Xenopus tropicalis: one gene and its partners. The protein of the gene in region 1 interacts with the protein of each later gene in a pairwise test. Links are inferred from orthologs where the notes say so. Each region holds a gene or a part of one and is shown in the gene's direction. Other genes may lie near its edges.

The links.
Region 2: the proteins of ap1m1 (region 1) and ap2b1 interact in binary tests that used the Homo sapiens proteins (3 or more experiments, as listed by UniProt). The link is inferred for Xenopus tropicalis from reciprocal best matches to the Homo sapiens genes AP1M1 and AP2B1.
Region 3: the proteins of ap1m1 (region 1) and tgoln2 interact in a two-hybrid assay, tested with the Homo sapiens proteins (2 studies listed by BioGRID). The link is inferred for Xenopus tropicalis from reciprocal best matches to the Homo sapiens genes AP1M1 and TGOLN2.
Region 4: the proteins of ap1m1 (region 1) and entr1 interact in binary tests that used the Homo sapiens proteins (3 or more experiments, as listed by UniProt). The two-hybrid records come from large-scale screens. The link is inferred for Xenopus tropicalis from reciprocal best matches to the Homo sapiens genes AP1M1 and ENTR1.
Region 5: the proteins of ap1m1 (region 1) and mtf1 interact in binary tests that used the Homo sapiens proteins (3 or more experiments, as listed by UniProt). The two-hybrid records come from large-scale screens. The link is inferred for Xenopus tropicalis from reciprocal best matches to the Homo sapiens genes AP1M1 and MTF1.

The regions. Positions count from the first base shown.
Region 1 is NC_030677.2:98,841,784-98,847,600, forward strand, and holds part of ap1m1 (AP-1 complex subunit mu-1), read left to right. Parts: intron 1-1,703; coding exon 1,704-1,860; intron 1,861-3,480; coding exon 3,481-3,548; intron 3,549-4,380; coding exon 4,381-4,511; intron 4,512-5,529; coding exon 5,530-5,677; intron 5,678-5,817. UniProt on the Homo sapiens protein: Subunit of clathrin-associated adaptor protein complex 1 that plays a role in protein sorting in the trans-Golgi network (TGN) and endosomes.
Region 2 is NC_030678.2:93,513,704-93,520,022, forward strand, and holds the start of ap2b1 (AP-2 complex subunit beta), read left to right. Parts: upstream 1-2,552; 5' UTR 2,553-2,746; intron 2,747-6,319. Other genes in the region: pex12 (peroxisome assembly protein 12), read right to left, coding at 1,450-1,575. UniProt on the Homo sapiens protein: Component of the adaptor protein complex 2 (AP-2). Adaptor protein complexes function in protein transport via transport vesicles in different membrane traffic pathways.
Region 3 is NC_030679.2:126,815,667-126,822,162, forward strand, and holds the start of tgoln2 (trans-Golgi network integral membrane protein 2), read left to right. Parts: upstream 1-2,416; 5' UTR 2,417-2,455; coding exon 2,456-2,525; intron 2,526-6,496. UniProt on the Homo sapiens protein: May be involved in regulating membrane traffic to and from trans-Golgi network.
Region 4 is NC_030684.2:6,497,354-6,503,956, reverse strand, and holds the start of entr1 (endosome-associated-trafficking regulator 1), read left to right. Parts: upstream 1-2,567; 5' UTR 2,568-2,771; coding exon 2,772-2,829; intron 2,830-3,514; coding exon 3,515-3,627; intron 3,628-4,343; coding exon 4,344-4,727; intron 4,728-4,914; coding exon 4,915-4,988; intron 4,989-6,603. Other genes in the region: pmpca (mitochondrial-processing peptidase subunit alpha), read right to left, coding at 1-84, 224-324, 500-594, 679-761, 869-948, 1,523-1,728, 2,359-2,405. UniProt on the Homo sapiens protein: Endosome-associated protein that plays a role in membrane receptor sorting, cytokinesis and ciliogenesis. Involved in the endosome-to-plasma membrane trafficking and recycling of SNX27-retromer-dependent cargo proteins, such as GLUT1.
Region 5 is NC_030678.2:83,691,945-83,697,761, reverse strand, and holds part of mtf1 (metal regulatory transcription factor 1), read left to right. Parts: intron 1-589; coding exon 590-828; intron 829-2,031; coding exon 2,032-2,163; intron 2,164-3,295; coding exon 3,296-3,369; intron 3,370-4,408; coding exon 4,409-4,542; intron 4,543-5,817. UniProt on the Homo sapiens protein: Zinc-dependent transcriptional regulator of cellular adaption to conditions of exposure to heavy metals. Binds to metal responsive elements (MRE) in promoters and activates the transcription of metallothionein genes like metallothionein-2/MT2A.

The DNA.
Region 1 (5,817 bases):
TTCCTGGTACAGCATGAAGCCCTGCCTCTCTTCCTGTTCAGCTCTCTATAGTGGAAGAGGGCAGCTTTCTGGGAATGCACAGTAAGTCAGGCAAGTTATGTATGGGAACTGAAAAAAAACTGCTGCTGCACACTGGCTTCTGCTTCTCTGTACATTCCCAGAAAGCTTCTTCTATGTCAGGCTTACTACTTCTTTAAATGAGTAGGTCACGTTTAAATGACCCTTTCATATGATGCAGTGATGTTCTAAGATAATTTGCTGAGTGCCTTTATTTTTATTTTTTGGTCAAGCAGCTTTCCAGATAGGAATTACAGCAGCTGTCTGTTTGTTAGGTTCTAGTTTACCCTAACAACCAGGCAATGATTTCAGTAAGAGACCTGAAGATGAATAGTTAAGGGCCCGAAGAGAAAGATAAGTAATAAAAAGTAACTAAAATTGTAGACTCACAGGGGATGTTGCAGTAAATGACCCTATTTTAAGCTGGAAAGAGGCAGGAAATATAGGCAAATAATAAAAAAAACTATAAAAAAAAAAATAAAAGGTGAGCTACCCTTTAACATTCAGTGAGCTAGGCTAGTGCATAGAGCACTATGTAGACCCAAACTCAATGGCTGTTTTGTTGCCATGGTAATTATTATTTTCTTTTAAGCAGTTCCCATGCATGGCTGTTTTGTGCTTTCCTTTATAATTATTGATGCGCTTCAGTCATGTAAAAGTATAACCTCTCCGTGACAATTCCAGTTAAGCAACTTTCACAATGTTTTCTGCATTTTTCTAACTTTCAAGCATTTCAGTGTAATGCCAAAAATGTTGCACTATTTCAGTTGTTTACAATGCAAGGCATTGGGCAGGTTTGAGGTTGCTTTGCAGCAGTTCTGAGCCCATTTCATTAAAGCACAAAAAAATCTGTTCCCAGTCATGGCTTTCTTATTGGTAGCACCAAGCTGTGTGGCTTTGTGCTTTCACAGGCAAGCAGAAAATGATGCTCTGTACTGCTTACTAAGGCTGAAACCTTCCATGGGAGCTGTGTGTTCAAAGGCAGCTGGCAGTGAGATTTCTGTTATACTGTGATAGTTGATATTTTACGTTTAAACAAACACACTCAGCTGAAATATTTTTTCTGTTCATACACTGAAGGTTGGGTTTTGGCTAGTTTTTCCAGCTAATTTATTTCAAATACAGTTCGCTGTTACTGGATCAAAATAGAAAGTAAGATTAAAAAAAATGTGTTCCATATATATCAGCAGTTTTTGTAAACTGGTGAGGTTTTGGCCACCAATGTATTGTATACAAGTTGCAGTAAATGTTCCCTGTGTGCCATGCACTCATGCCAGTAAACAGAGTTTGAAACCAGTGCACTCAGAGAATTTATAGGAACAACCAATCTTCTGTTTATTTAGACTATATCAGGATGCATGAAATGTGAAACTTGCAGTGTGTAGAGAAAATAAGGTTCTGTATTATGATATAAAGAAGGAAGCAATGTTGTTTAGAACATATAGTAATCCAAAGCACATGCTGTTAAGAAGGGCAGATTCACAGGTGTAGTATGTAACTCCCTCTGTAATATGATGACAATTTTATTATTTTATATAAACTTATTTTGCAGTGCTGTACAATAGATGGATTTATGCATAAATAGAAATACTGATCAATACAGAAGGTAAAGAGAGCCCTGCTCATTATTGCCGTTTGTTTTAAAGGTCCTTATTTGCCGGAATTACCGCGGTGATGTGGACATGTCAGAAGTGGAGCACTTCATGCCAATTTTGATGGAGAAAGAAGAAGAAGGAGCACTTTCACCAATTCTGGCGCATGGAGGTGTCCGGTTCATGTGGATTAAACACAACAATCTATACCGTATCCTATCTGTTTTGTAGTTTTTATGTCTGTTTGAGTTTTTCTTTCTTAATCTAAATCTTTTTGACAGTGGTCCAATTCAGTAGTTAAATTACTTCAGTCACAATCAGAATGTTTATTCCTACAAAATGTTTTGACGAATGAGTGGTCTAAAACATATCATGGTAATAAACCAGAACTGTTTTGCACACACTATAGATGACTGTATAATGGCTCTGGTGACTTGCTGTTACTACTTTTTTTTTTTTAAGTTCTATTGTCAATCCAGGATTCATGGTCCGAGCAGTAGGGCTTTATAGCAGTATAGCCATTTTGTTTCAATTAGCACTACTTGCACCAGTGTGACAGGTGGAAATTTAAACTGCTCTATTTCCCAATAGTAAGCAAGCCTGTAAATCTGTGTATCCTAAGGATACACTAAATGCAGGTATTCAAATACATTAACTGTATTTGAATTGCAATTCATTTTAAGATGTTCTAGAGTATATATATATAATCTGAATATGAGTAACATACTGAATGTCATCATCTTCTAAAGGGCTCCCAGTATCCCCTGGGCAGGTGCCTGCACAGTACAGACTTTATTCGTAGATTTCTGTACTGCACATGCAGGATGCACTGAAGAAAACAGCACTAGCATAAAGTGCGTGAAAGTACCTTGAGCCAGTGAGTTTTTAAACAAGAGGAACGCTGGCCTCTGGGGTTGGAGATTACTATAGTCACTAGAGGGGTGCCTAACAAATTGGAACCCCCAAGAATTTTATCTTTCATTCTCCTTTAAAGGCTCAGAATTATAATTTTATATTTTGCAGACTTTGATAACGGAGTAAATAATTTAGTATAATCTAACATGATTTCTCCTGCATAAAACCTAGCAGCCTCTAAAATGAATTGTTTGACCTCTAACATTTAAGGAGCATATCTATTAGCGGATTTTGCTTTTCTAGTGGTTTGTGAGTTTGTGAGTATCTTACAGAGCTAGCAAATTATTTTTCCGTACAGATGTACAGACTTAAGTTGCTGAACTGCACTTTGTGGCAGAAAGGTGATTTCAGATCAGGTACGACCCTCTAGATAACAAAATAGGGACATCAAAAAGGGCACTTATCGCTAAATATTTGTTTCCCCAAGAGCAGCTATGGCTGACCGAGTCCAAATTTCAGATTGATAAAAAAAGTACTACTTTAAAGATGTGCAGTCAGCCATTATGGGGCATAATTATGAACCGTGTTCCACAAGCCAGGACACTTGCTCAGTTTGCACAGTGCCTAAACTTTGGGTAACACACATGTTCATATTAAGCAAGTGTCATGGATATAGGTTCCTTTTAACCATTTATAGCAGTAGTTTTGAGGCTGGTGAGCCACTTGAGTAAATGACTTTGTATTAGGAAATGCTTCACTCATGCTTGGGATCTCCTTCATAAATAGTAATAATAAAAAAATAACAAATTACCCCCTTTCACACATACACAACATTTCCCAATATTACTGATTACTATATTAAAATGTTCATTAACACTGTTTGGTTATATATATCACTCCATTATGCATTATGTTTGCAACCTGAAACATTTGTATATCTGTATTTTTGTGTTATATTCACCTTGACAGTATTTAGTTGTTGCAACGTCTAAAAAGAATGCCTGTGTATCGTTGGTATTCTCCTTTCTGTACAAAGTAGTCCAGGTGAGTATTTTGAGTAAATAAATATGTATCAGTCTCTTTCACACATTCTGCAAAAGGAAAAAAGGTTCAGGCAGTCACTCTAGTTAAATGGTGCTAGTAATACAAACAAATCCAAAAACACTATACTATCATTAATAAGAACATTTGACTTCTGATACTCGTGGACAATACATAAAATGAACTACATCATTAGAACTTTGTCTGCTGAGAGTTAAGAGGCCACTAAATTAATTAGTCATTCCCATTAGTACCATGATATGTTACTGTTTCTAAAGATCTGACTGGAATTTGTGTGGTCACACAGCAGATTCTTTGTAAGACTCAAACCATTGGAGTAGTGACCTGTTTTTCAGACAGTTTAAATTCCATACCAGTGTGTTCCCTACTGTGTCTACTAGGAGCTGCTTGGTCTGTTCTCCATATTGTAGATATGCTTATATATGAATGAAGAATAAAGCTGGTTTACAGATTTCAGTCTAATTTCCTGTTAAGCAATTTGTTCCAAATTTGAAGATAATCATATCAACATGGCAGATTAGCAGCTACATCTTAGGACCAATAATGGAAGGAGAAATGAGAAAAAAAAATCTGAAATTTTAGATCTAATAAAAAGGTCTGATTCTCAATAGCTAATTGCTTTTTGTTCTTTATTTTATGCATAGTCATATCCTAACTTAGTGTTTTGCATAATGTGCTGTATTCAGTTAGTTACAATAACTTGTCCATATATTTTGCATTTGACATACATTTGGTCTGAAACCTATTGAACTTTTTGTGTTTAAAGCAGAAGGAAGAGGCATACTGAATTGCATTGTTTGTTTGTATTTTCTAGGTATTTTCTGAGTACTTTAAAGAGCTAGAAGAAGAAAGTATCCGTGATAATTTTGTAATTATATATGAGTTATTAGATGAGCTAATGGATTTTGGCTATCCTCAAACCACAGACAGCAAAATCTTACAAGAGTAAGTGTCTGGTGAAGTCATGCTTACTTCATTTTTCTGTCCCTTCTTTCTTTAAAGGGTTTTTCATCTAAACAACATTTAAGGTGGTCAGTTTCATACATAATTTTGTGTGACTTTCAGTACATGTATGGCGGTCTTACAGTCCCCACTAATATCAGATTACTTTGTATATTGGTCACTTTGTTGATTGGCCCCTTTGAGAAATGAATCTGCCAATTGTATAGTGTATTGGCACATTGGGAAGTGAAAAAACAACACAGATCCTGTTTATTTCCTGCTTTTCCAATCACTTTGGCTGTTTGCCACACAAAGTCATTATGATTATTTCTGAAAATATTCTGATTCTAAGATCCTAGCTATAAAGTAGATGTGCAATGGTTTTGTTATTTATTTATTTTTGCCAACAAAGAAACAGGGACTTGTGAAATTATTAACTGCAGAAAAGGCAGCTCTTACTTTTGTATTATAAGTCTTATTTTTGGATTACACTTATTTTGCATGCTTGACTGTGTAAGTGACGCATGTAATGACATGTCGATTGCCCCCAATGTTTTACTATATACACAAGAGATCATTTATTAACTGCAGGTAAGAGCAAAAAAAGTGTTTTTGCACGTTGCGCCCTGAATCTTGAGAAACTCCTGCAAAACAATGTGAATGGGATGTTCATGGGAACAGGGCTGTATTCATGAGGGGCAATTAGGCACCCCCTTCCTGTCACCTATCTGACCCATAAGTTGACAATAATGTCTGGCAGGAAGGACAGGACTCCTATGTGCCCTAGTGTTAGATTTGCAATCCAGTGCTAGATGCAGAGGGTAACTAGATCCCAGAGGTAAGTGCTTTTTGATTGAGTAGTAAGGGCATGCATTTGTGCTCCTAAGTGCTCTTGCATTTGCATCGGGGGTCAAATTAAATGACTTCTTGAGAATAACTTATATTTCAATGTGCTGCAAATCTTTCAAATAGTTTAAAAAAAAAAAATGTATCCCTCTGACATATATACATATGTTTCTAGGTATATTACTCAAGAAGGTCATAAATTAGAAACTGGAGCACCCCGTCCTCCTGCCACAGTAACAAATGCTGTATCTTGGAGATCGGAAGGAATTAAATATAGGAAGAATGAAGTTTTCCTGGATGTCATAGAATCTGTCAACCTTTTGGTAAATGCAGTTATACGTTTTACAACTTTTTTGTACCTCACAGTGCCTAACTAAAGCATAGAATAATGATAGGAAAAAAACTTTCCTGGTAATTGTTAGAATCCAATTATATATACAAACCAGATTCCAAAAAAGTTAAA
Region 2 (6,319 bases), on another chromosome or scaffold:
AGGTAAAAAAAAATGTGTAATGGTTAAATAAACAATTCAGAAACTTTAGAATGAGTTGAGAAAAAGCTGAATTAAAAGATGGGGAGAAATATCCACTAAAGCATTAATGCTGTTTTTTATACCTAAACATTCTTGTTCTTTTGTATTCTGTCAAATGTGACTCCCCAAATAAGGGACTTGACATTTACTATATTCAAGTAGGGATCTTATCTGGAGAGTTGTATTATACTTTTACTCTCTCCTGTATATTGTCACATGACTGTGTACTTTAGTTAATATTTGTAATTATGCATGTATCTGTATTTTTAAGCCATTTGTAAGGTCTGAGGCAAGTTAAGTGTTATTCCCTATTGACTTCCAGACTATGCAATTAGAAGCTCAGTGTACTGGCACCCCTTTAGACTGCAAATTAATTGATTGTGTTCTCTGTTGAACGGAAGCTTTGTTTCAGTGAACCATTTTATACAAAGAAGCAAAGCACATTTAAATGCCACTGCTAGCCTAATGCTAATTTTATCCTTTTTAACATGAACCCCATGTTGTACAATATAGTGATTCACTGCATGCTGCTAGGCATCTGGATTTAAAGTTGACTATATCCCTGCTGATGCCTAGATTTAATGGTACGGTGTTAAATGAGGTGTTAAATATGTAAATATTTTATTTGCTCTGTTAATATTTAATTATCTACTCAGATGTGGTTTTACACATATAAACCTCTACATTTCTTACCATAAGGATATTAATACTGGGTGGTAACTTTATTATATGGTTGTCACTAGGGATGCACTGAATCCAATATTTTGGTATTTAGCCAAACCCCGAGTCGTTCGTGAAACATTTGGCTGAATACCAAACTGAATCTGAATTCGGATTTGCAAATGAAAATTAGGCTATGAAAGATTCCTGTTAAATCTTGGCAGAATACCAAACTGAATCCTGGATATGGTGCATCCCTAGTTTTCATTTAATTATTTTATTATGCATTTTACATTATTGCTAACTACATTGAAGTCCTCACTTTTTCTAGCAGTAATATAAAAGATATTTTTTGCACAGTTAATTACAATATAAATTGTGCAAAAAAGATCTTACAATCTATTTGAGGTGTTCCTGACTCTTTTCTTCTTTAGTTTACACTACTAGCAGGCTCACAAAAGGGTTGTGTGGGACAGCCATTTACAGGCAGCTAAAATGGCATTGAATAGCCAGATAAAAAAATCCACTATTGCAGGTTTACATAATAAACATTTTTTTAAACAATATAAAGAAAAAAATAAAGCCGGAAAATTGACAATATAAACAATCACAACTATACAGCAACGAAGCTGCAGGAAAAACACAAAGCTGTAAAATCAGACAAAACAAATATGAAATACTTAATTTACTTAAATGTGTAGTTAAAAAGCAATGTAACAATAGAGATTAGTGTTTCCAGTCTGCACTCACCTTCACAATATGGTGCAAAGCAGGCCTCACAGCTGCCATCAAACTCTCCTGAGCCACCACCTCAAAAATACTGGGCCGGTCATCAGACAGCGAAGTGGTGGTAATATGGGCCCCCCGCTCTGCCATTATGGAGGTTTAGTTCCGCTGCCAATATGAAAACTATTGCTGACTGCACCTTTAACCTTTTCCAGAATGTACCTGTTTAATCCAAGAAGACCACAATGTACAGTTACAATGCATTTGGGAAAAGAGGGAATTAGCATTCTTTACACCAGTGATCCCCAACCAGTGGCTCGGGGGCAACATGTTGCTCACCAACCCAGTGCTCCCAAACCAGGTAGTTATTTTTGAATTGCTGACTTGGGGGCAAGTTTTGGTTGAATAAAAACAAGATTTACTACCAAATAAAGCCCCCTGTAAGCTGATAGTGTGCACAGAGGCTACCTAATAGCCAATCTTAGCCCTTATTTGGCACCTCCATTAACTTTTATGTGTTGCTCCCCAAGCTTTTTTACATTTGACTGTGGCTCACGCGTAAGAAAGGTTGGGGATCCCTGCTTTACACAATAGACCAAGTGGAGCTGCATAACGTATGTCAAGCTTTGTGCTTACAAATACAATGTATGTACTTTGACATATATAAACTTAATGCACACTTCGGCAGGTATATAGCAAATATCGAGCAAACCAAAACAACCGAGCGGAGGAGTTCTAGGTTATCTATACCTGTCCCCCACGGCAGGCGATAAAGCAGTAACCGGGCCAAAGCTTGGAGGCCCCTACCATATATCTCTGTGCTCTACAAGAACCTGCATTACTGAGGTGAAAGATCGTATGTGCACACGTGTGCCCGTGCATGCGTTCCAGAGCCCTGCAGCGCACCCTTCTCTTATTGAGCAAACACTGGGAATTGTGCCCCGACCAAAACAATTACCATCTTGTGTGTATGAGAGATTCTGCTCAGTCCGGAGTACTTAATGTTCGAAACCGTCCCGTGGATCAGCCTCTAATAAATCCAATCCCCGCAACGCCAATCACAACATCGCATTCTCAACCTCGCAATTTCACAACCTGGAACGCAAAGTGACAGCAGGGATCACATCTTATTCCGGTTGTTGAGACGCCTTTCGCATTTCCGGTGTATGGAACGCAGATGGTAGTAGCTGTGTGTGAGAGCTGTGCTAGATTTCCGGGGCAGCGACCCGCACAGCGCCTTCTCCTCTCCCTGGGTTTCTCTTCATTCGGACATTTATCTCTCTCGTTCCTAAGCAAGTCTGTATTTTTCTGTACGTTATCGGTAAGTCGAAGCAATAAATCGGTGCTTGCCTTATCTAATAGAATAGCGGTAGAGATAGGGATGGGCAGGGCGCAGGGAGCCGCCTGGCTGCTGTAGGGTGCCTGCTTCGTGAGAATTCTTGTGTTGGGAGGTATGGTTATCGCAGGCATTTACTGCACACATAGAAGGTTGTTAATTCCAGGAGATCCATGAACACGTTTTGATTTCTATAAGCCACGATTTAATTAGCCTAAGTGATCACACGAAGATGATAATGACAATTCCTTGTCATAAAGCAAAATGACGCCTGATTTAATGTGTAAATAAAACAATAAAAGGCCATGTTTTTATCAAAGTCCTTTATTTCTCCATGGCCTTGACAGATCACACAAAATCACTTAAGTCAGACAGTTAAAAAATGCAAGGTTTATGTCAAGTTGCTTGGAATTGTAACTTTAGAATGACCACCTACGTTGCTGTCCGCTTCCCCTTAATGTCACCTACACTCAAGTGAGCATTGTTTGCTTCAGGATTCCCAAATAAAATGTCTTAGTTGTCATTAAGGAGGTGCCAAGTCCACTCTGGCAGAGCCAGATCACACCAAGCCTTCAATAACTTTGGTGGTGGCTTAGTTGATTTGCCTCCTGTGCCAAGCCTGTGCTCCACATGCCCCCCCCCCCCCCCCCCCAGCACTTATTTATGTTGTAATATAGTAGCTTGCCATGACTGGCTCCAATTACATCTTATTGTGTCATGTCACTCTTCTAAAAAATATATTAAATATATAACTGCCAATGTTATTGCCATTGCTCTGCAGGAATGTGAATTAGTATTGGAACATTGCTTTCATTCAAATTCGTTGCTTTTTGTACTGGTCTGAGATAATTGCTGGCTGTATGTGTTGCTGCTCCATAGGAAAATTACACTTGCTATCTGAATTCTCCCAAAGTCATTGGAGAATCCTTTGAAAGACACATTGAAATGAATTATATACTTGCAAGTACAAAACATTCAATATACTCTCTTATTTAACGTAACTTTAATCTTTTAAAGATATATATATATATTTTGTTAAATTTAAATTTTTTATTGATTTTTATAGCATAACAAACCATGACAGCACATACAGGTTAAAGTCATTTCTGACAGTAAAAGAGGATCAGGTTATACAGTATCTGTGTGGATATCAGTCTTAACCAGGTAGCAGTACATGAAAAACTTAAGCTCTTGTTTCAGTATTCAAGAGTTCCCTTTGTAAAGGGCCGTTCCTCGGCCCTGCGATACTGGTGCTACTTCCTGGGTCCCTTTCACCTGTTGTCACATTAAGTATTGATAGTGGCGTGCTGTCCGGTATTATTTAAACAATCAAAGTTAAAAATAGGTATATATAGAAAAAGGGTTTGAGGTAGAGAGGTAGTAGAGCATAGTAACTGGGACAGTAACTGGGTGAGAGAGAAATGGGGGGGGTGGGAGGGATAGGAAGGTCATTCTGCTCAGGAATTCTATGTTATAGTCCATTATTATTCTTTGGTCTCGTTGCTTTGGTACGGATAGGAGCCATCCGGCTACGATTAGTGAAGCTCGTTCTTTCTGTTTGTTGACGCCGGTCCAGGAGGTGTTGACTGTGAAGTTGTTGCTGGTGGAGATTCCCGCATCCCCGGTGCGGCCGTCGGAGGCCGGGGGGGGGGGCCCCGGGTCAGTGTAGTACAGGCTGTGATTGATTTTCATAATAATTTAAGAATCATAGGGGTCTATGCCTGAAGGAGTGGTTCAGGTGCAGAATCTTAGGCTGCAGCTAATTCTAAATATTGCTCTGAGTGTTTGAATTGGTTCCAATAGAACCATTTCTGTGTAAATTTTCTTAACTCTTTTTCAGATGTGGGTTTCAGCTCCTCAAATCTATAGATTTCCGACAGTTTATACAGCCAATCTTTTATCCTAGGGGGTTCAGTTTGGCGCCATTTGGTTGGGATTAGTAACTTGGCTGCATCTAACATAACTGGGAAGTAATTTTCCCATTTATTTTTAAAGCCATCTGAAGGGTTTGGGGATAGGTTTAGAAGGCATTTATAGAGAAGAGAGATTGTTCTAGTTGGTGTTTTTTGTTGATTCCAGATCTGTTCTATTTCTGTGAGGGTAGGTCTGGGAGATTGCATTTGGGCAAGGCTGGAGGAAGTGGCGTATCTGACGGTATCTGAACCTGTCCAAGTCTGTTATAGTACGGTTTGGTATCAGGTCTTCTATTGGTTTGATTTGTTGGCCTGTGTAGAAATAGTTTGCTCCGGAGTGTAATTGTAGTTTCCAGCCTTTAAAGTTGTCCAGATCTAATCCGGGGGGGGAAGTCTGGATTTCCAAAGACTGGGGTGAGTGGGGTAGGTGTATTTTGCCATTTGCCTGTGTTGGTTAAGTTATCCCATATGTTAAGCGTGTATTTTAGTTTACTATCTGATTTGTCTTTAGAGCTGGGCGGTATGACCAAAAATTTATATCACGGTATTTGTCAAAATTATATCGGTGTCACGGTATTTGATGGTATTTTTTTTTTCCATGCATGATTAGGTGTTACCCCAATTCCTAATAAATTAGAGAATAATTACTGCAGTATTGAAAATCAGAGTCAGGCAAGCGAAGGATCGGCAACATAAAGTCGTAAGGTAAATCAGGCAGGCTTAGTTTCCCAGGCAAGGCCGCAGACAACATAGCACAGGAGGAGGCGTTTGATAGCTTTAAATACCCCCCACGCATGCGCAGAACTGGCGCCATCAGCGCGTCGCGGACGTGCACACTTTGACATATACGTGCGCTTTGACGGACGCGTGTGTGCAACGTCCCGCGGACAATGGGACGCACGCGAGACCGGGCTGCGCGGGTGTGTACCCTGACACCCCGGTATTGCGGTATCTGAAAAATGAATATACCGTATATACTAGAGTATAAGCCGAGTTTTTCAGCACCAATAATGTGCTTAAAAAGGCACCCTCGGCGTATACTCGAGTATATACGGTAATGCGGGCTGCGCTCACCCCGTTGATGTGCATTCAGCGCTCAGGCGTTCAGGAGTACGCGCGCAACCACCACTCACCCCCTGCGCCGCTGCGCCAGCACGCACACATGCCGTGCCTTTCGTGTGTGCGCCAACGTTAAGGCTGGAGCAGTGCACCAAGGGGGAATGTCCGTGGCCAGCTCGCACACACGCCATGCCTTTTTGGTGCGTGTCAGGTTTGAGGCTGGAGCAGTGCATCGAGGAGGAATGTCTGTGGCCGGCTCGCACACACGCCGTGCCTTTCCCATGCATGTCAGGTTTGAGGCTGGAGCAGTGCAACGAGGGGGAATGTCCACGGGTCGCGGCTATAGGAGAGCAGGTTTTTAAATGTTATTCTAGTCTGGAATATGGATCAATAAAGGCATCTCATCAAATTATAACTGATGGATCGGTGCCCTTAGCTATATGACTTGGCTGCCTGATCTGTTTTGTAATAACTACTACAGTATATATTGCAGGTGATTCAGACTCTCAGCGCTCCAGTGTCATAAATGCAATATTTGGTTATTTACAGGGACGCACCATTCTCTATGGGGGATGGCCTTTCCGTA
Region 3 (6,496 bases), on another chromosome or scaffold:
GGACCTTTGTGTTTTTGAAATGCCAGGGCCTATCTTAGGCTGATGCCACACGTGGCATTTTTACGCTGCGTTTTTTCTCAGCCTAAAAACGCAGCACAAGCCACACAGCCCCTTACTATGGCGTTTTTCAGCCTAGTACTAGTGACGTAGCAAATCCCGTTTCCATGGTGCTAATAGTGCAAAATAGGAAAAAACGTGGCGTATTTCCGCTAGATCTGGCAGCTGCCTTTGTGTATACATAGGAATAGCTTGCTTTGCAAATACTGGCGTATTTCGGCCAACGCTTGAAAAATCCGTGCTAAGGCGTTTTCTAGCGTATTTCCGCATTGTGTGGTTTGCTTCGAGTCTTTTCAAGTTATTTCTATGGATGATGATATCAGGCGTTTTTCAGCCGCCGAGAGAATTAGAAAATACGCAGCGGAAAAACGCCTCGTGTGGCATCAGCCTTAAACTCATTCTAGACCTGATATGGCCCTGTTGTTTTAGGTAGGGATGCACCGAATCCAGTATTCGGTTTGGGATTCGGCCTTTTTCAGCAGGATTCGGCCCCATCCACGCCTCTGGCTGAACCAAATCTGAATCCAAATCCTTAAAATCATGTGACTGTTTGTCAGAAGTTTAAATTTTTTCACCGTGCACAAAGTGTGATTCTCTTTAAACCTTCCATTTCCTAATTTCCAAATTTGGATTCGGTATTTGGACAAATCTTTCACAAACGATCCTAAAATTGTGGATTTGGTGCATCCCAAGTGTTAGGGTCACTGAAAATCAGTATTTAATACTATTCTGTGTGCAAGAGGCCACCAACAAAACCCTTTCTTTTAACCTCAGCCTTAGGCAATCTGTGACCCTGTCATGAACTACAAACTATATTTATCATGCTGTGTAAAAAGCAGTGTACAGCGTTACCAGCGATGTTGCCCAGGGCAACCAATCAGCAATTACATTTCAACAGTTAGAAAACCAAAGCAAAGCATCTGATTGGCTGCTATGAGCAACTTATACCCCTTAGGGTCATGTGTACTAAGATTGGAGATAAATATCACTAGTGATGTTGCCCATAGCAATAAATCAGCATTTAGATTTGAACTGTCACCTAAAAGTCAGAAATCAAGAGCAAGATCTGATTGGTTGCTACTGGCAACATCACCAGTAATATTTATCTCCAATCTTAGTAGTCTTCAAATATTAATTGAATACTGGTGTAGGGATCCCCAGACTTGAGCCCCTTAGATGGGTTCCCGTTAGGCACTAGAGGTTGGATTTTTTGAGTTAGACACCTAAAGGTGGTCCTAGGTAGGATCACTTGGTGGGAGTACCGTGGGTAACCCAACAGGAGAGAGGTTCTCTAAGACTGAAGTTAAGGAGACAGTGCCCTGATGAATGTGTTCCACTCCTGGAGAGGTCTGCCCTGAATAAAGAGATTCATCTCGTTCACTATACCCACTTGTGTCTGTCTCTTTCCTATCAAGGGATCACCTACTGGCCGGTAAGCAAATACCCCAAGGGAGGGGCAAGGTGCAGGGAGTTGTGTGGAGTCCCAGTCAAGGATTAACGTACAATATCAAGTTCCCAGGGTTGTGAGTTATGGTCTCACAGTATCACCCCTGGGTGGAGGCCCACCATTGAACTGTACAGCACCTGTCCCCCATAGTAAGCGGGGCTCAGGACTCCTATAGCCAGGGGCGGCCAAGCCGACCGGCACCCTAGGCAACCCGGTCGGCCAACTCAGCCCACCTCCCCGCGCATGCGCATGCCAAAGCACAGGAGGCAGTGCAGGGGGGGGGACGATTAGATCGGTCATTGCCTCCGCCGCTAATGACAAGCGGCAGAGGCAATGACAAAGTAGCACTAGGGGTAGGCAGGAGAGGCTCCTGCCTGGCGCCCCTCAATCGTTGCGCCCTAGGCAGCTGCCTCTTCTGCCTACCCCTAGTTCTGGCCCTTCCTGTAGCGCCAAAGTAATAGCAAGTAGCAGCACTGCCAACTAAAGTGGGCTACACTGGGAAATGGAGGGACTAAGGTTACCAAACTCAAAAGTTGTCAAGCGGGTCACTAATCCAACATCACCCAAACTGATCCCTATACCTGTGCCCAGGCCTTGTAAATAAGTGTCCACTCCGTCACAGAGAAATTAAATCTTCAAATACATCTATAAGGTATATATCTCATTTAGTGAAAGTTATATATATTAGCCAAGAATAGGTTTTTTACATAATTGCCATAGTTATGCATGACTAGGTGTAATAGCAGCAGCAGCAGCAGCAGCAGCAGCAATAACATGAGCAGTTCCAAATCATGCCAAGGCCGGCCATATTAGTACACTCACCGTCGAACATTCAAACGCCGGCGATACATCCGTAGCACTGACTTCATTCAAGGTGTAGAAAGATGGCGGCGCGGATACAGGAAAGCGGAAATACCTATTTTTTTTTTATCTCACTTATTTCCTGTAACGATGGCGACTAAGGCGTCTTGGTTGTTGCTTCTGCTCCTTGTTTCGCTGAGCGCTGCGGATAATGGCGAAGGTGAGATGCTTTAGGCTTCAGCTGTGGGGTTTTACCTGCTGGTTTTGGGTGGGTTTAGATGCCTCAAGGCAAAGCTTTATGGGACTGATGCGTGTACCTTCCGCCTTCCGCCCACCAGTCTCTGTCACTATCGTCATTGGCTCCCGGCCTAGATACACTCTCACAGCATTCGGGCTTCTTGTTATTGTGGGAATGAAATAGGTTGTGTGGGGTTTCCCTTGTGCTCATTCTCTTTTCTCTTATGTGTTTGCTAATGGCACCTGTATTCTAACTGGCACTTCCTTTACCAATTAATGGTATCTCATAGAACTATAAACTGGTTTTACACAACCTTGGCTCACAGCAATGAGAGGTTATGCCTTAATGGCACAGTAAAGGTGCCTGTCACCCACATTATTATTATTAATAATCAAGCAATCAATAACTGATACAAGAGGTGAAGCACATATAAAAAGATATGTAATAAAAGTCCTTCAGAAATTAAGCATGTAACCCAAATTTTTTAATTAAATCATCCATACCTGTTATAAATAGACTTAAAAATCTGAGCTGTCAATCATATATTGCCTGCCCCGCCTCTATGCCTCCGGCATAGAGGCGGGGCAGGCAATATATGATTAACAGCTCAGATTTTTAATTACAATTACTTTAACTTTCCATTCAGCACTTCCTAGATATCACCTAGATGGCAGATTTTGGGGTGAAACAAAGCTTGCCTTAAAGGAACAGTAACACCAAAAAAGTGTTTTAAAGTAATTGAAATATAATGTACTGTGGCCCTGCACTGGTACAACTGGGGTGTTTGTTTCAGGAACACTACTATAGTTTATATAAATACGCTGCTGTGTAGCCATGGGGGCAGCCATTCAAGCTGGAAAAAAGGAGAAAAGGCACAGGTTACATAGCAGATAACAGATAAGACACCATTGTATTCTACAGGGTTTATCTGTTATCTGCTATATAACCTGTGCCTTTTCTTCTTTTGAATGGCTGCCCCCATGGCTACACACCAGGGTTTATATAAACTTTAGTAGTGTTTCTGAAGCAAACACAAAACTTTTACCAGTGCAAGGCAGCAGTACATTATAGTTTAATTTCTTTGAAATATATACATTTTTTGGTGTTACTGTTCCTTTAAAGGAACAGTAACACCAAAAAATGAAAGTGTATAAAAGTAACTAAAATATAATGTGCTGCTGCCCTGCACTGGTAAAAGTTGTGTGTTTGCTTCAGAAAGTCTACTATAATTTATATAAATAAGCTGCTATGTAGCCATGGGGGCAGCCATTCAAAGGAGAAAAGGCACAGGCACATAGCAGATAACAGATAAAACACTATTGTATTCTACAGAACTGATCTGTTATCTGCTATGTAACCTGTGCCTTTTCTCCTTTTTTCCAGCTTGAATGGCTGCCCCCGTGGCTACACAGCAGCTTATTATATAAATTATAGTAGTGTTACTGTAGCAAACACACTAATTTTACCAGCGCAGGGAAACAGTGCATTATATTTTTATTACTTTAAAGCTCTTTTATTTTTTGGTGTTACTGTTCCTTTAATAAGCAATTCCAGTATGTCTTGTTAGAAATGGTCAACTCAGCAATTATCAGTAAAACTGGTGTGTTTGCTACAGTAACACTACTATAGTTTATATAAAAAGCTGCTGTGTAGCCATGGGGTCAGCCATTCAAAGGAGAAAAGGCACAGGCACATAGCAGATAACGGATAAGTTCTGTAGAATACAATAGTGTTTTATCTGTTATCTGCTATGTGCCTGTGCCTTTTCTACAGCTTGAATGGCTGCCCCCATGGCTACACAGCAGCTTATTATATAAATTATAGTAGTGTTACTGTAGCAAACATACCAGTTTTACCAGTGCAGGGCAACAGTGCATTATATTTTTATTACTCTAAAGCTCTTTCATTTTTTGGTGTTACTGTTCCTTTAATAACAGTGTTCATAAAATGGCGGCTTTCTGCTTGCCGTGACTGTAAATTCCAAGACTGAAGGGAAAAAAAATTATATAGTGTAAGTAAAGTTTATTTTGCTCAACTAACATGATAGAAAATGATTTGGAATTATTTCTTAGTGTGACAGGTCCCCTTTAATCGCCTTAGCAGAGGCACATCTGAACCTTAATAGCAATGTCATGGTTAAAACATGGCACCTAGAGAATGGTGTTTTAACCCCCTGGGGCCCACCACGCTACTCAGGAAAACAGGCAGCAAATAGGGCACTATACCCCCTTTCCACTTTATTGCAGTGAATCTGTTGGTATTGAACATTCTATTTTCCTTTTAATTAGATGTTTTTTTTATCTCAAGCTCTAAAAGGGCTGAAACTGAAAGTAAAGCCAAATTCTACTTCCTGGTTCTAAGGATACAGTGAAAACAAACAACCAGTCCACTGAGAATCACACCCTCTCTATATAAACAGATTTACCCCAGCTGCAGCCTTTGTTAGGCATAAGGATTAGCACATCATTGTCTGGAAGGTTTCTTATTGATTATTTTTTTTTTCTATAACCGCTATGTAAAAATAAGGAAATTGGTATGACTCTCGGGCTAATGTCGCAATCACAGATGCCATTTCCCCACTAGAAGCTAGCATCTACTTGTTAGTTACTTGGCCCAATTCAGCCTCAGAGTGGCAATCTGGCATCTTACAGCAGCTTCTTTGCCAGAATCCACAAAGACAGTCACTGTTTAGGGTGAAGACACACAGAGCAACTTAATAGCAGCTACTTGTCACGGCTACTAAACTCCAGAAATACCCTGCCATAGACAATACTGAGAATTGCCTCTGCTAAAACACAGAGACAGTTATAAGTAAACGATCAGCATTGTCTATTTCTGTAGCTATTTCTGTAGTAGCTGCTACTAGTGTGTCTTCACCCTTATTGGGCCTGTGTTTGGCTCTTTGGCCTCTGTGTTCCTGAATTTTCAGGGCCTGTTTGGTATCTCAATCCGGGCCTGGCCCACTGTTTGCCTGCTTTGACATAAATTGGATGCATCTATCCCTAAAGGTCCCCATACACGGGCCGATAGTAGCTGCTGATATCGGTCCCTTGGACAAATTCGGCAGCTTATCGGCCCATGTAGGGGCAGAAACGAGGGGCCTGCCTGGCCAGATATCGATCGGCCCGGTTAGAAAATTCAGTCGGATCGGGGACCGCATCGGCTCGTTGATGCGGTCCTAGAACCGACTTCCCCATTGCTGCCCACATAATCCGATCGTTTGGCCCCAGGGCCAAGCGATTGTTTTTTTTTTTTACCTAAACGCTCCCCGATATCGCCCACCCATAGGTGGGGATATCGGGTGAAGATCCGCTCGCTTGGCAATGTGCTTGTGTATGGGGATTTTTAGCAGATAAAAATGGTAGGGGGTTGAATCAGTGTTTTCCAACACCTGCCTCAGTACATTTGCTCTAATGTTTGATTTGATCCCTGAACTGGAATTTAAAATGGGGCATTTGAGCTTTTCTCTCCAGTCTTACAGTAGACTGATTCTAGAATCATTGGCCCACACTGACTTTGGCTACAAAAACTCTAGGACTAATGGGGCTAGTACGTTTTACGTTTATTTTGGGAAAACAAAACATATAGTCAGTTTAATGCTTATGTAGAACTTTGTATCCTAGATTTTAACAGTCTGTGGGTCACAGCTTGTTTTGACTGCAGTAGTCCCTCTCAGTGAGAACTTCCCATGTTGCCTGATGCATTCATAAATGGAGAAATAGTTTACATTGGAAGATGGTAGTGTGCTCAGCTGGAAACACTTTGACCTGATGGTATCAGTGTTGCACTTATTTGTGGATAGGTGGTAGACAAATAGTTGTCCTAAAAGCAGAAAAGCAGTGGCACCTTGTAGCACAACTGCACCATCTTCCAACAATAATAAGCATAGGAGCACACCAGGCATGCTCGAGGGGCATACAAATAGCAGCATGGTACAGCACTGGCCAAGGTTA
Region 4 (6,603 bases), on another chromosome or scaffold:
GTGCAGGGTTTTCTGGCTGATCTTGTCGATGTTTTCCACCGGGCAGAACCTGGGAAGCCCCACTGTGTTCCCTCGGTACGCAGCCTGGAGAAACAATTATGCAGAAAGTCTATTACTCCCACAGCAGGAAGTTAAGAGTGCAACTGAAAATTGCTTCCCCCTTTATAAAAACCACCATATTCAATGCTATAAATGCCACGTGGGATATACGGACAGTACTTACTGCATGTATCATTTCTGTCAGCAGGGGTTCCGGGTCCGGTCTCATGTTCAGATCTTCCAGTTCGAACCGGACAGCCATACGGGTCATCTCAATCTCTTCCTCTGTAAGGGAAGCAGGTTAGGTGGGTGTCCAACGGGCAGTAAAACCTAATTGGGTGCTTATAGGAGGTTGCTTTCTGGCAGGGAGTTAAGATATCCCTTTAATATCACAGCCGCTGTCCTTCCAAGGAATAACAGGTTTAGTTACCCTTTAACCGAAGTGCTCATAGCCACTTACCGGAGAGCCTGGGTTGCAGAACCACCTCAGACAACAGACTGACGACTGTATCCAAGCCCTTGGAGTCCGCAGACACGGCGTACATGGTGGTGTCTCTGAAAAGGAGGCCGACAATAGGAACTCAGTAGGAACAATTGCACCAACACTGACTTGCTTTCTGGCACTCAAGAGTCACTTACCTAGAGGTCTGGCAGTCACAAATGCCTCCGTGTTTCTCCAGCGTGAGGAGGATCTCATCTTTGCTGCCGAACTGCGCTGTGGACTGGAACACAATGGTTAGTCGGGATGGGCCCCGGCAGTCACGTGCCCGCTCACACCCGCACACTGGGTGCCCCACGCCCCTGCACCCATCGCTGCCCCGGTACTTACTGAAAAAGCCAGTTTTTCCAGAAAGTGTGAGATTCCGCTGAGGTATTTAGTCTCGTACCGCGATCCGGAGTTGATAAGAACTGTGAAATAAACACCCCACTGTTACACACCTTCTTATCTGTAAGAAATCCAAGTCCAGCTTGGGACTCCTCCAGTTACATGGGAGTAGGAGAAACAATAGGTTAGCTGAAAGCAGTTCTAATGTGTAGCGCTGGCTGAAAGCTCAGACTCAGGCACACTTTACTGCTGCGCTGCAAGTTGGAGTGATATCCCCCCCCCCTCACCCCCAGCAGCCGATCAGCAGAACAATGGGAAGGGAGCAAGATAGCAGCTCCCAGTAGGTATCAGAATAGCACTCAATAGTAAGAAATATAAGTCCGGCTTGGGACTCCTCCAGTTACATGGGAGTAGGAGAAACAATAGGTTAGCTGAAAGCAGTTCTAATGTGTAGCGCTGGCTGAAAGCTCAGACTCAGGCACAAGGCACTGAGATGGCGCCTACACACCAATATTACAGCTACAAATACATTTGTTGGTTGAAGAATAAAAGGTTAAATGGCAGAGGGAATTATTTGCTGTGTAACAGTGTCATTTAGAGAAAAAAGTGCCCCATAAACATCATGGCAGTGTCCCTGGGTCTGCCCATCATACTTACTCCCAACTGTGCAGAACTGCCCGAATTTGTTCTGCGACGCCACCCGTAGCCCATTCTCCAGGGTGGTCACTTTCGTTTCGAATTTCTCCTGCCCGTCGACTTTGGCAAAGATGGGCTTGGGGAGCTTGGGGAGGGGCGTGGAGAGGGGGATGCTGGGGTAGGCACTGCCGGAGCTGCTGTAGCGCCGGTACCTTGGCAGTCCATATCTGAAACGCAAAGCCGATATTTCACCCACATATACAGCTAGCTAGTTGCTAAGGCTTATTGACCATAGCAACCAATTCACTGAACTGGAGCACAGTTTCCAGCCCCCCCAGTCAGTGCAAGTCATGCCCCCATCTCTGTGCAGGGTTGGAACCTGTCTAGCAGCAAAGCCTCAGCCCAGGAGCAGATTGTTTACTATATGATGCAACCCCATGCAACTCCTACTTCTGCCCTTACTTATAATGGGATTGTTTTATTTTATTTCTCTTTTTGGGGGATCCCATAGCACAACTCCTTGCAGGGGTAAGCAATTTGCTTTTGCCCCTGACATAGCCAAACTACAACTCCCAGCATGCCCTGGCAGCCTGCAGTTCAAAGCCAAGTGTAAAGCTGCAAGCAGGATATCCGGCTCTTATAGTCTAAAATACCCCCCAGGGTAGAATGTAAGCCATCAGCCACCCCGCCTTGGGGTATTTACACACCCAGATCATGTTCTTATGTAAACACCCCCCTCATCACGTGACATTTCCCTCCAATGCGGGGAGACCCAGCCCCTGTCACCTACCGGCGGGGGTAAGTCCCATCCCGTTACCCCAGGCAGGAAGGAAAGGCCGTACTAAAACCCCGCTTACCGCTGTATTCCACCCCAGAGCCGACTCCTCGCTACATTCGCCGCCATCTTTCCATGCCCCGCCCCCTGACCTCCTCAGCACAGGCATGGGGAGAGCCGGATAACTTCCTGCTTCCGGTGGGGCGGGAGCGTCACTTCCGGGGAACATGCCTGGAGGAACTGAAGTAGCTGGCAGCTTGCTCTTACTTCTATGCAGCCTTCTGAGTATCCCTCACTCACATGAGTGCCCACTTACTGAGTGCTACTAGCCCAGTGCCCACTCCATTAGTCTTTAGCAATTTCCTAATGTTTTACCTGCCCATTCCTGCTTGGCATCTCTACCATTCCCTGCTGAAGGTATGAGGGGCTCTGCTGCCTGTAACCCCCACACCCCCTGCTAGCCCCCCCAAGTGCCTTGTTGCCCAGGATACAGCCATGTCTGGATCTTCCAAGCAGCCACATGCCAAAGGCAAGACCCTCATCATAGAGGACGGTGAGTATCAGTATCAACCTTATAGTAACATAGTAAGTTAGGTTGAAAAAAGACACACATCCATCAAGTTCAACCTTAATGCCTATATTTAACCTGGCTAAATGCCAGTTGATCCGGAGGAAGGCAAAAAAACCCCATCTGAAGCCGCAGAGGGGAAAAAAAATCCCTGCATGTACCCTTCTAAAGGGGAACTCTGCCCACAGTCTTCATTGGTTCTGACTCCTGAAGCGATGTAGGAGAAGCCATCTGACTGTCATAGAGAACTGATGTTGGCTGCACATTTTCAGGTGTCAGAACCTTCCTATATGTTTTTAGTTTGTGAGAGTTGTTAAGTCTTGGTTGAATTCCTTAGAAATCACCCCACCTGAGACCCTTATAATGCTCGATCGGAGAAGGAAATGTATTGATCCGGTCAGGGTAGGACTAGAGGGTGCAGGGGGGGTCCAGCGGCCCTGCAGGTGCCCTTGCTGGCCGCATCTCCTAACCCCCCCCCCGCAGGGGCCCCCCTAACCCCCCGCAGGGTCCCCCACCCAACGTCCTCCCCTGAGCGCGTGTAAATTTAATGTATCATGGGTCTGGTCTGGGCCGCCGGGGCCCACCAGGATTTTTCCCGGTGTCCCGAAGACCTGGTCCAAACCTGGATCTGGCGCATCAAGCTGACAACCAATTGTTTTATTCTTTGCAGACTGTGAAGCAGAAGCCCTGGATGAAGCCAACCCATTCTCCTTTAAGGAGTTTGTCAAGAGCCAGACCTTTCCAGGATTCGTTTCCAGTAATAGTAAAAGGGCTTTCTCTAAGGTGAGTACTGTGTATTTCTGGGTATTTATATAAACTATAGTAGGGTTTCTGTAGCAAACACCCCAGCTGTACCAGTGCAGGAATGGCTGCCCCCGGGGCTACACAGCGGGGTATTTATATAAACTATAGTAGGGTTTCTGTAGCAAACACCCCAGCTGTACCAGTGCAGGAATGGCTGCCCCCGGGGCTACACAGCGGGGTATTTATATAAACTATAGTAGGGTTTCTGTAGCAAACACCCCAGCTGTACCAGTGCAGGAACGGCTGCCCCCGGGGCTACACAGCGGGGTATTTATATAAACTATAGTAGGGTTTCTGTAGCAAACACCCCAGCTGTACCAGTGCAGGAATGGCTGCCCCCGGGGCTACACAGCGGGGTATTTATATAAACTATAGTAGGGTTTCTGTAGCAAACACCCCAGCTGTACCAGTGCAGGAATGGCTGCCCCCGGGGCTACACAGCGGGGTATTTATATAAACTATAGTAGGGTTTCTGTAGCAAACACCCCAGCTGTACCAGTGCAGGAATGGCTGCCCCCAGGGCTACACAGCGGGGTATTTATATAACAATATTAAATAGCAACATTACATTATATTTTAATTATAACATTTTTATTTTTTCCTGTTACTGTTCCTTTTATATGGTCATGCAACATTATTCCCTATATTGCCCGTTGCTCACTATTTAAAATTACAGTGTAATCTCCCCCCCACAGGACTCTAACCAATCCACAACACAGTTTCGTGGACCCAGCGAATGCCCAGATGGGAATCTGGAATTCCAAGAGACGTACTTCAGAGACCCGACGCTGTATGATGACTTACAGGAGGATGAGGATGACGACTGGAGTGGCAGTTACCACCCTTCTGTTATAGAAAACACTCACGGTCCCAAAGTTCCCTCTCCCGCTGGCACTGATGGGGATGAGTCTTATGGATACGGTGCCAGCGACATGTCTGGCGATGGATTAATCACAGGTTGGCAACAGGCTGTCCTTCCGTCTCCCCCTGCCGGCTTGCATGGGAAAACCCAACATCGCCCTGACAGCACCAGTGACTCCGAGGAGGGTTTGCGACTGCTACAGATAAACTGTGAAGAGGTAAGTGAGGAAACGTTCAGCTGCGTTTTACGTAAATCCATCCGTTCCAGCGGCAAATATCCCAGATAAGGTATTTGCAAGAAACCAAAGCCATTGTTTTAGTCAGCTGCTTCATTGATTCAACAACCAGATGCCCAACTCTTCTTACATTCTTACATTCCACCTCTGTTGGTTTATCGTTCTTCAGCTACAAGAGGAGAATCTCCATCTAAAGAGCAAGATCTGTAAACTGAAGGAACTGAACGACAGCCAGAATGAAAAGTAAGATATTTCAGTCATTATTACTGCCATCGTTGCCCTGCATTGGTACAGCTGGGGTGTTTGCTACAGAAACCCTACTGTAGTTTATATAAATACCCCGCTGTGTAGCCCCGGGGGCAGCCATTCCTGCACTGGTACAGCTGGGGTGTTTGCTACAGAAACCCTACTATAGTTTATATAAATACCCCGCTGTGTAGCCCCGGGGGCAGCCATTCCTGCACTGGTACAGCTGGGGTGTTTGCTACAGAAACCCTACTATAGTTTATATAAATACCCCGCTGTGTAGCCCCGGGGGCAGCCGTTCCTGCACCGGTACAGCTGGGGTGTTTGCTACAGAAACCCTACTATAGTTTATATAAATACCCCGCTGTGTAGCCCCGGGGGCAGCCATTCCTGCACTGGTACAGCTGGGGTGTTTGCTACAGAAACCCTACTATAGTTTATATAAATACCCCGCTGTGTAGCCCCGGGGGCAGCCATTCCTGCACCGGTACAGCTGGGGTGTTTGCTACAGAAACCCTACTATAGTTTATATAAATACCCCGCTGTGTAGCCCCGGGGGCAGCCGTTCCTGCACTGGTACAGCTGGGGTGTTTGCTACAGAAACCCTACTATAGTTTATATAAATACCCCGCTGTGTAGCCCCGGGGGCAGCCGTTCCTGCACCGGTACAGCTGGGGTGTTTGCCACAGAAACCCTACTATAGTTTATATAAATACCCCGCTGTGTAGCCCCGGGGGCAGCAATTCCTGCACTGGTCCAGCTGGGGTGTTTGCTACAGAAACCCTACTATAGTTTATATAAATACCCCGCTGTGTAGCCCCGGGGGCAGCCATTCCTGCACCGGTACAGCTGGGGTGTTTGCTACAGAAACCCTACTATAGTTTATATAAATACCCCGCTGTGTAGCCCCGGGGGCAGCCGTTCCTGCACTGGTACAGCTGGGGTGTTTGCTACAGAAACCCTACTATAGTTTATATAAATACCCCGCTGTGTAGCCCCAGGGGCAGCCATTCCTGCACCGGTACAGCTGGGGTGTTTGCTACAGAAACCCTACTATAGTTAATATAAATACCCCGCTGTGTAGCCCCGGGGGCAGCCGTTCCTGCACTGGTACAGCTGGGGTGTTTGCTACAGAAACCCTACTATAGTTTATATAAATACCCCGCTGTGTAGCCCCGGGGGCAGCCATTCCTGCACCGGTACAGCTGGGGTGTTTGCTACAGAAACCCTACTATAGTTTATATAAATACCCCGCTGTGTAGCCCCGGGGGCAGCCATTCCTGCACTGGTACAGCTGGGGTGTTTGCTACAGAAACCCTACTATAGTGTATATAAATACCCCGCTGTGTAGCCCCGGGGGCAGTCGTTCCTGCACCGGTACAGCTGGGGTGTTTGCTACAGAAACCCTACTATAGTTTATATAAATACCCCGCTGTGTAGCCCCGGGGGCAGCCATTCCTGCACTGGTACAGCTGGGGTGTTTGCTACAGAAACCCTACTATAGTTTATATAAATACCCCGCTGTGTAGCCCCGGGGGCAGCCGTTCCTGCACTGGTACAGCTGGGGTGTTTGCTACAGAAACCCTACTATAGTTTATATAAATACCCCGCT
Region 5 (5,817 bases), on another chromosome or scaffold:
TCACATGACTGAAAAGTTTGAATGTTTTAGAGTAGATGAAAGGAAGCAGCATGTGATTACATGAAGCAGTCTGTGATATACTCCTGTTGCACAGACCACCCAGCAAAACAGCATCACACAGACAATTGAGAGTGGGGGTAGCAGTTTAGCGTAATTTTATTTTATATGTAAACTGTATCATGCTGCTTCTACCCCCTGTTACAACATTTGACAGTGTAGCATACAAAAACATTGTGATTAGATTGTGCATATTGCACAATGGCTATTTTCCACTGGTGCATTAAGGCCATTTTACTTATAAACAGGATCTTAGGATCTTTAAAAGCCTTTATTTGAAAGAAAGGGCTGTGACCTGTATAGCTGCTGCTGTTCAGGACACAGCCCTTTTTTTCAAATGAAGGTTTTGTTTGTTTTTGTTTTGTTTTAAAACAAAAAAAATCCTGTTGTGGTGCTCTATATGAGTAAAAAAAAATAATATACACAAAGTTGAACTGATGTTGAAAAAAGGGTGTATACTGCCCCCTGTAACATAACACCCTGAATTTAGGCAGAGGCTGATCTTTTGCATCTTTCTTTGTTTTTGTTACAGGTGAAGAGATACCAATGTACATTTGAAGGTTGTCCACGGACATATAGTACAGCTGGAAACCTGCGGACTCACCAGAAGACTCATCGTGGAGAATACACCTTTGTCTGCAACCAATCAGGCTGTGGGAAGGCATTTCTTACATCTTATAGCCTGAAAATCCATGTCCGCGTGCACACTAAGGAAAAGCCATTTGAGTGTGATGTGCAAGGATGTGAGAAAGCTTTTAACACCCTGTACAGGTGAGAATGCTTTGCTTGCCAAAACCAAAGGCTTGCTCAGTAGTTTAACACAAAATGTTTGTCCATTGTAACTGTGTAAAAAGCTTTAGTAAACATTATATGCCTACTTTGGAGATATTTTAAGCACAAATCTTTTGTGTAACCAGTTAGTTAAGCGGTCTGTGTGCTTAGTGGCCTTTTTGTGGCTCTTGTTCTGTCTCAGGAAACAGGGGGCATGGCTTGTCTTGCTGAGACAACTCTGTGCCTGGAATATTAAAAGCTAGGAGAGATATTCTGTACACATGCTGGCCTGGGTGGGGTTTGTAGCTGTCATTGCTAATGAGCAACTGATTCAGCTGGTCAGACAAGAACATCCTGATGTAAAGTGGAAAGAGACTTTCAGTGAAATTGAAAATTGTTGTGTGTGCTGTTACAATATTAAGCACACGTGTTTAAAAAAGTTTGTAAAATATGCAAATGTATATTCTTAGTATACAATTTTATACATATATGCAGATCTTCATTTCATGGTATATAGATGTAGTTTGGTTGATAAGTGATAATATGTTAGGAACAAAATTAAAACAACAAGCTTACTTTATATTATAATTCTTAACCATATGGTGTGTAGAAAGAGGGAGAATTAGCTAGTATTTTGTAATAACTTGGGATACATCAAAGTATAATGAATTCCATACAGTGGGACACTGGGCAATAACCTATAGCAACTAACAAGTGATAATACTTTTTTAGCCAGCTACAGGCAGAATGATGATAACAAAAATTTGATTGGTTACCATGGGTTACAGTCCAGCTGCAAATTTGCCCAGGGTTAGGTGGAAATATAACACATATATGTCTCCATCACTAAGGCTACCGCCAGACCAGGGTGATTCTTGGTCTGTTGATAAACGCAGGCCCCTATGCTTGCCTCACCCTACATGTGTGACTATATCAGGAGCCACTGCGTTGGCCCGGTTGCAGGCACATTGAGCAGATTTTGGTACTGTATTGTGTGTGAGTATGCATTTTGTTACCAAGATCCACTCTGCGTATCTGCACCAAGGCCGACATATGACAGTAGCCTAAAACTAAAGTGCCCTAAATACAATATATTGTGATATCTGAAGGGATATAAGTCATGCTAATGCTACCATGTACCATTTATTTCTGGTTTGCTAAACTAATCTGAAGAGGTCCACTATTTATTTTTTTTTTTTGCAGGTTAAGAGCACACCAAAGGCTTCACACAGGGGAAACCTTTAACTGTGTAACAGAAGGCTGCAGTAAATTCTTTACCACCCATAGTGATCTGCGGAAGCACATTCGCACCCACACCAGGGAGAAACCATTTAGGTTGGTCTCATTTCTTTAGACTGCTTGTTTTTTGTTTTCTTTTGTAACTTTGTGCCAGTAAGGACAGTTGAAGGAACGAATACTTCTAATAATATATTAGTATGGAATTGAACTGGAAATATTCAAAGCCATTTTTAATGTTAAATAAGATTGGTGGGAAGGGGCTAGTAGAACTGGTACTGTATCACATGGGCAACTTCTGCACTTGTGTATTTCAGCATGCTGTCATGCACTTCCTGTTTAAGTGAGACACACAGCAGTGGTGGTTTTGGCTTCTGAAATACCCTGGTAGAGTATAAGCCCCATGTGCCATTGGGGTTTTGCAGGCGTCATATTTCACTTTGCCTTTGCTCCCACTTTGGTGCATAAAGGCCAAGGCGCAGATCTCTCCATGTATTTGGTAAAGGATGCATGTTGCATCATCTATGGGCACTCAGTATCACACAAAATGTCAGAGCACCTATGCCCTGCCCACATGCCACCCTCTACATCACAGGGGAAAAGCGCAGCCAACCCTCTAACTCGCCATGATCTTTATAGTCTCAGTATTTTGCACATGTTTATGGCGGATGCAGTTATCATGGAGTTCTGGCAAAGAAGTTGCATTGTTGGTTTGCACAACTTGTTTAGCAGAGTGACCAATATATTCTGATCATTTTTTGTTATGATACATAATCATTTGTAAATTTATCATAAACATGTGATTCACATCACAACAGGCACACAATTCTAATTTGCTGAATATCTCTATAACTGTGTTTTCCATGGGCTGCTATTGTCATTTATGCAGCTGTAATCGAGATTATAGGGTATATTTTAGTATTATTTGCTGAACATGCAGAGGCGCTGCATTAGTAAATAGCTCCTGGGGCAGGTGATAATACATTCAGAATCACTCCCTGCTATTTGCTTTGCAATCATGGCAGTCAGTGTTTCTGACCAACAGTTGTCTGACAAGGGGGTGTCTACAGAAACATCAATCCTACATGATAAGCAGTCATGTCGTTTACAGCCGCTGACATATCATTTACAGTCTGTAGCAGCCAAGGGGTTAATGTAATGTGCCATTCTATATTTACTTTCTGTGTTTTTAAATTCAGGTTGTTTCTTGTAATTTACTCTGTCTGTGCAGGTGTGATCATGATGGCTGTGGAAAGGCATTTGCTGCAAGTCATCACCTTAAAACGCATGCCAGGAAGCATACAGGTATAGAAAACAGCATTTGTGGGTGTGTTACACAGAAGGGAAGAATATAATCAGGGATTGGCAATGTTTGTCACTTTTGATAATAAGCAATTACTGCTCCCAGCGATTAGGTTATAGATTTACACAACATTTTTCTAATTTACATGAAAATACCTGCTGTGATTAAAACTAACGAAAGGTAATTATATTTTCTTTTATGACATATAATATTGAAACCCAAGATTTGCCACACTGTCCATATGAGGTTCCTCGCGCACTACCCTCCTCAAGCATGTCCTGAATTTAGCTCTTATTTGTTGTGCTACCTCTTGCACTGGGTAGTAAATGCACAAATTCACTGGTATCTAGAACTCTCTTTATTTCCTGTCTGATGTTACCTAGAAACACATAAATAGGGAGGGCATGCAGTGGAAAGTAAAAGGTAATTGGGCAAATCAGGACTTTATCCTATATTGCGTGGGGCTGGAGTCTGTGAGACGCAGCCTAGTCTCCACACTCCATAAGAAATTAATAAAATAGATCTGTTTGTTATAGGCTTTGGTTGGAAGCATATAGCTTCTGTTAAATTAAGATTTACTTTACACTGGCATCATGATATTACTGATGTACCTGTAAAAGCTGTATAGGCATACCTATAACAAAATACCAATTCTACACACACCGTTCCACAGTATCACTTCTACATTATGAAGAACAAGACTCACAGGATTAGGGTATATTTCTTTAGAGTTACATTCTCTGCGTGTGGCTGTAAAAATCAGCTGGGATCATGAAAAAAAAAATGCTGTGATGGGTACATACAGTAGGAGGGACAGGGCTTTCCTTCACAGAATAGGGCAAATAAGCAGGTTACTATCCCACCTGCTTGCAAAAGTACAGAGCATCCTGGGCCAGTAAAGGTCAGTTTGTGTTTGGTGCCACATCTGTAATTGATCTTCTTGCTGAATTGGCAAATTGGGCTCTGAATGTCTAGTTCTTATTTTATAACATTTTTGCACCCATAGTAACACATTCTTATTCCCTTGTTTCCAACTACTAGGAGAAAAACCATTTTTATGTACCAGTGATGGCTGTGAGAAGACATTCAGCACCCAGTATAGTTTGAAGAGTCATATGAAAGGTCATGACATTACTGGTTTGGAGGAATCATTACCAAACCACACATCATGCGAGGTATAACAATCGTCATTAAACCTTTCTCATTTAGCTCTCATTTAGGGTCCCATCTTTTACATAATGCACATATATGCACACAATCTTCTGTAATCCAGCAGGTACATACACGCTTAATTCTCCGTAATATTGCAGACATAGTCATGCTCCAATATTTTCTTTACAAAGCAATAACAATGGCAACAACTCATTAAAAAAAAAACCTAGTGAAAATTACTAATTTCTATTCAACTTAAGAAAAGAATAGTCTGAATCCTTTCTCCCAATTTGCTTGAGGGGGAAAAAGGAGTCCTATGACATAGTTTTGCAGGTACCCATGCACCCATTCACAGATACATATATGCACTTATTCACTCAAAAAACTGTGTTTCCGTGATATACCCTTTTAGGTTTTTATACACCCATATGCATTAACCGATACATGTAGTCACCTACAAACAGAGGAACCCATGCACACACAAATACAGAGGCATCTACCACTTCCATGAGTTGCACCTTGAAACTAATGATTTGTTCTTAAAGGACATGTAAAGCCTACATTTGCCTACAATGTATATCAGTTGGGCACGTTTCCCCCACCCAAATGGCATCATTTGTACTGCATATATCCCCGCCGTTTGCCAGCACCATCACATTTTCCTAAACCAAATAGCAGCTTTCACCTGGTGGCCATTTTTCCTCTGAAACATAATTGGATACATTTAAATCTGAAAACAGCCTACACACACACACAAACTCTTATTCAGCATACATTTTATCAAGAATACAGGCTCACACAGGCAAAACTGTCTTTGATAAAAGTTCTGCTTTGTTTGAGCACTGTAATGGTAAAGCTGAGTTAAAAAAAACTAAAGCAGACAGCTAGAGCTGAGTTTCTATGGCAATGCCATCTCTTTACTGGCTGCTAGACTGGGGGCGTGTTTAGTAACCTGAGCTTAGAACAACTGAGCATGCCCACAAGCCAACAGCCAAAGCAAATTTCTGAAGGAGGGGACCGAGTGGGTTACAGGAGGAGAAGCAAATCTAGGTGATTGAGGGGATGCTGCAGCCTTACTATTAACCTCTGGACAACCAGCGTGGCAGGTATTGAAAGATTTCAAAGAGGCTGTTCATTGATTACCATAATAAGTGCTATGGCAGTGTAATTTTACCCCCTCACATACTTTATTCATTCCAACATGCACACAGATCCCCTCGTGCGCCTGCACACTTTGCCCACACATTCTTCCAACCAAGCACATTTAATTATGTATAAACTTAGATGTGGTAAAAAAA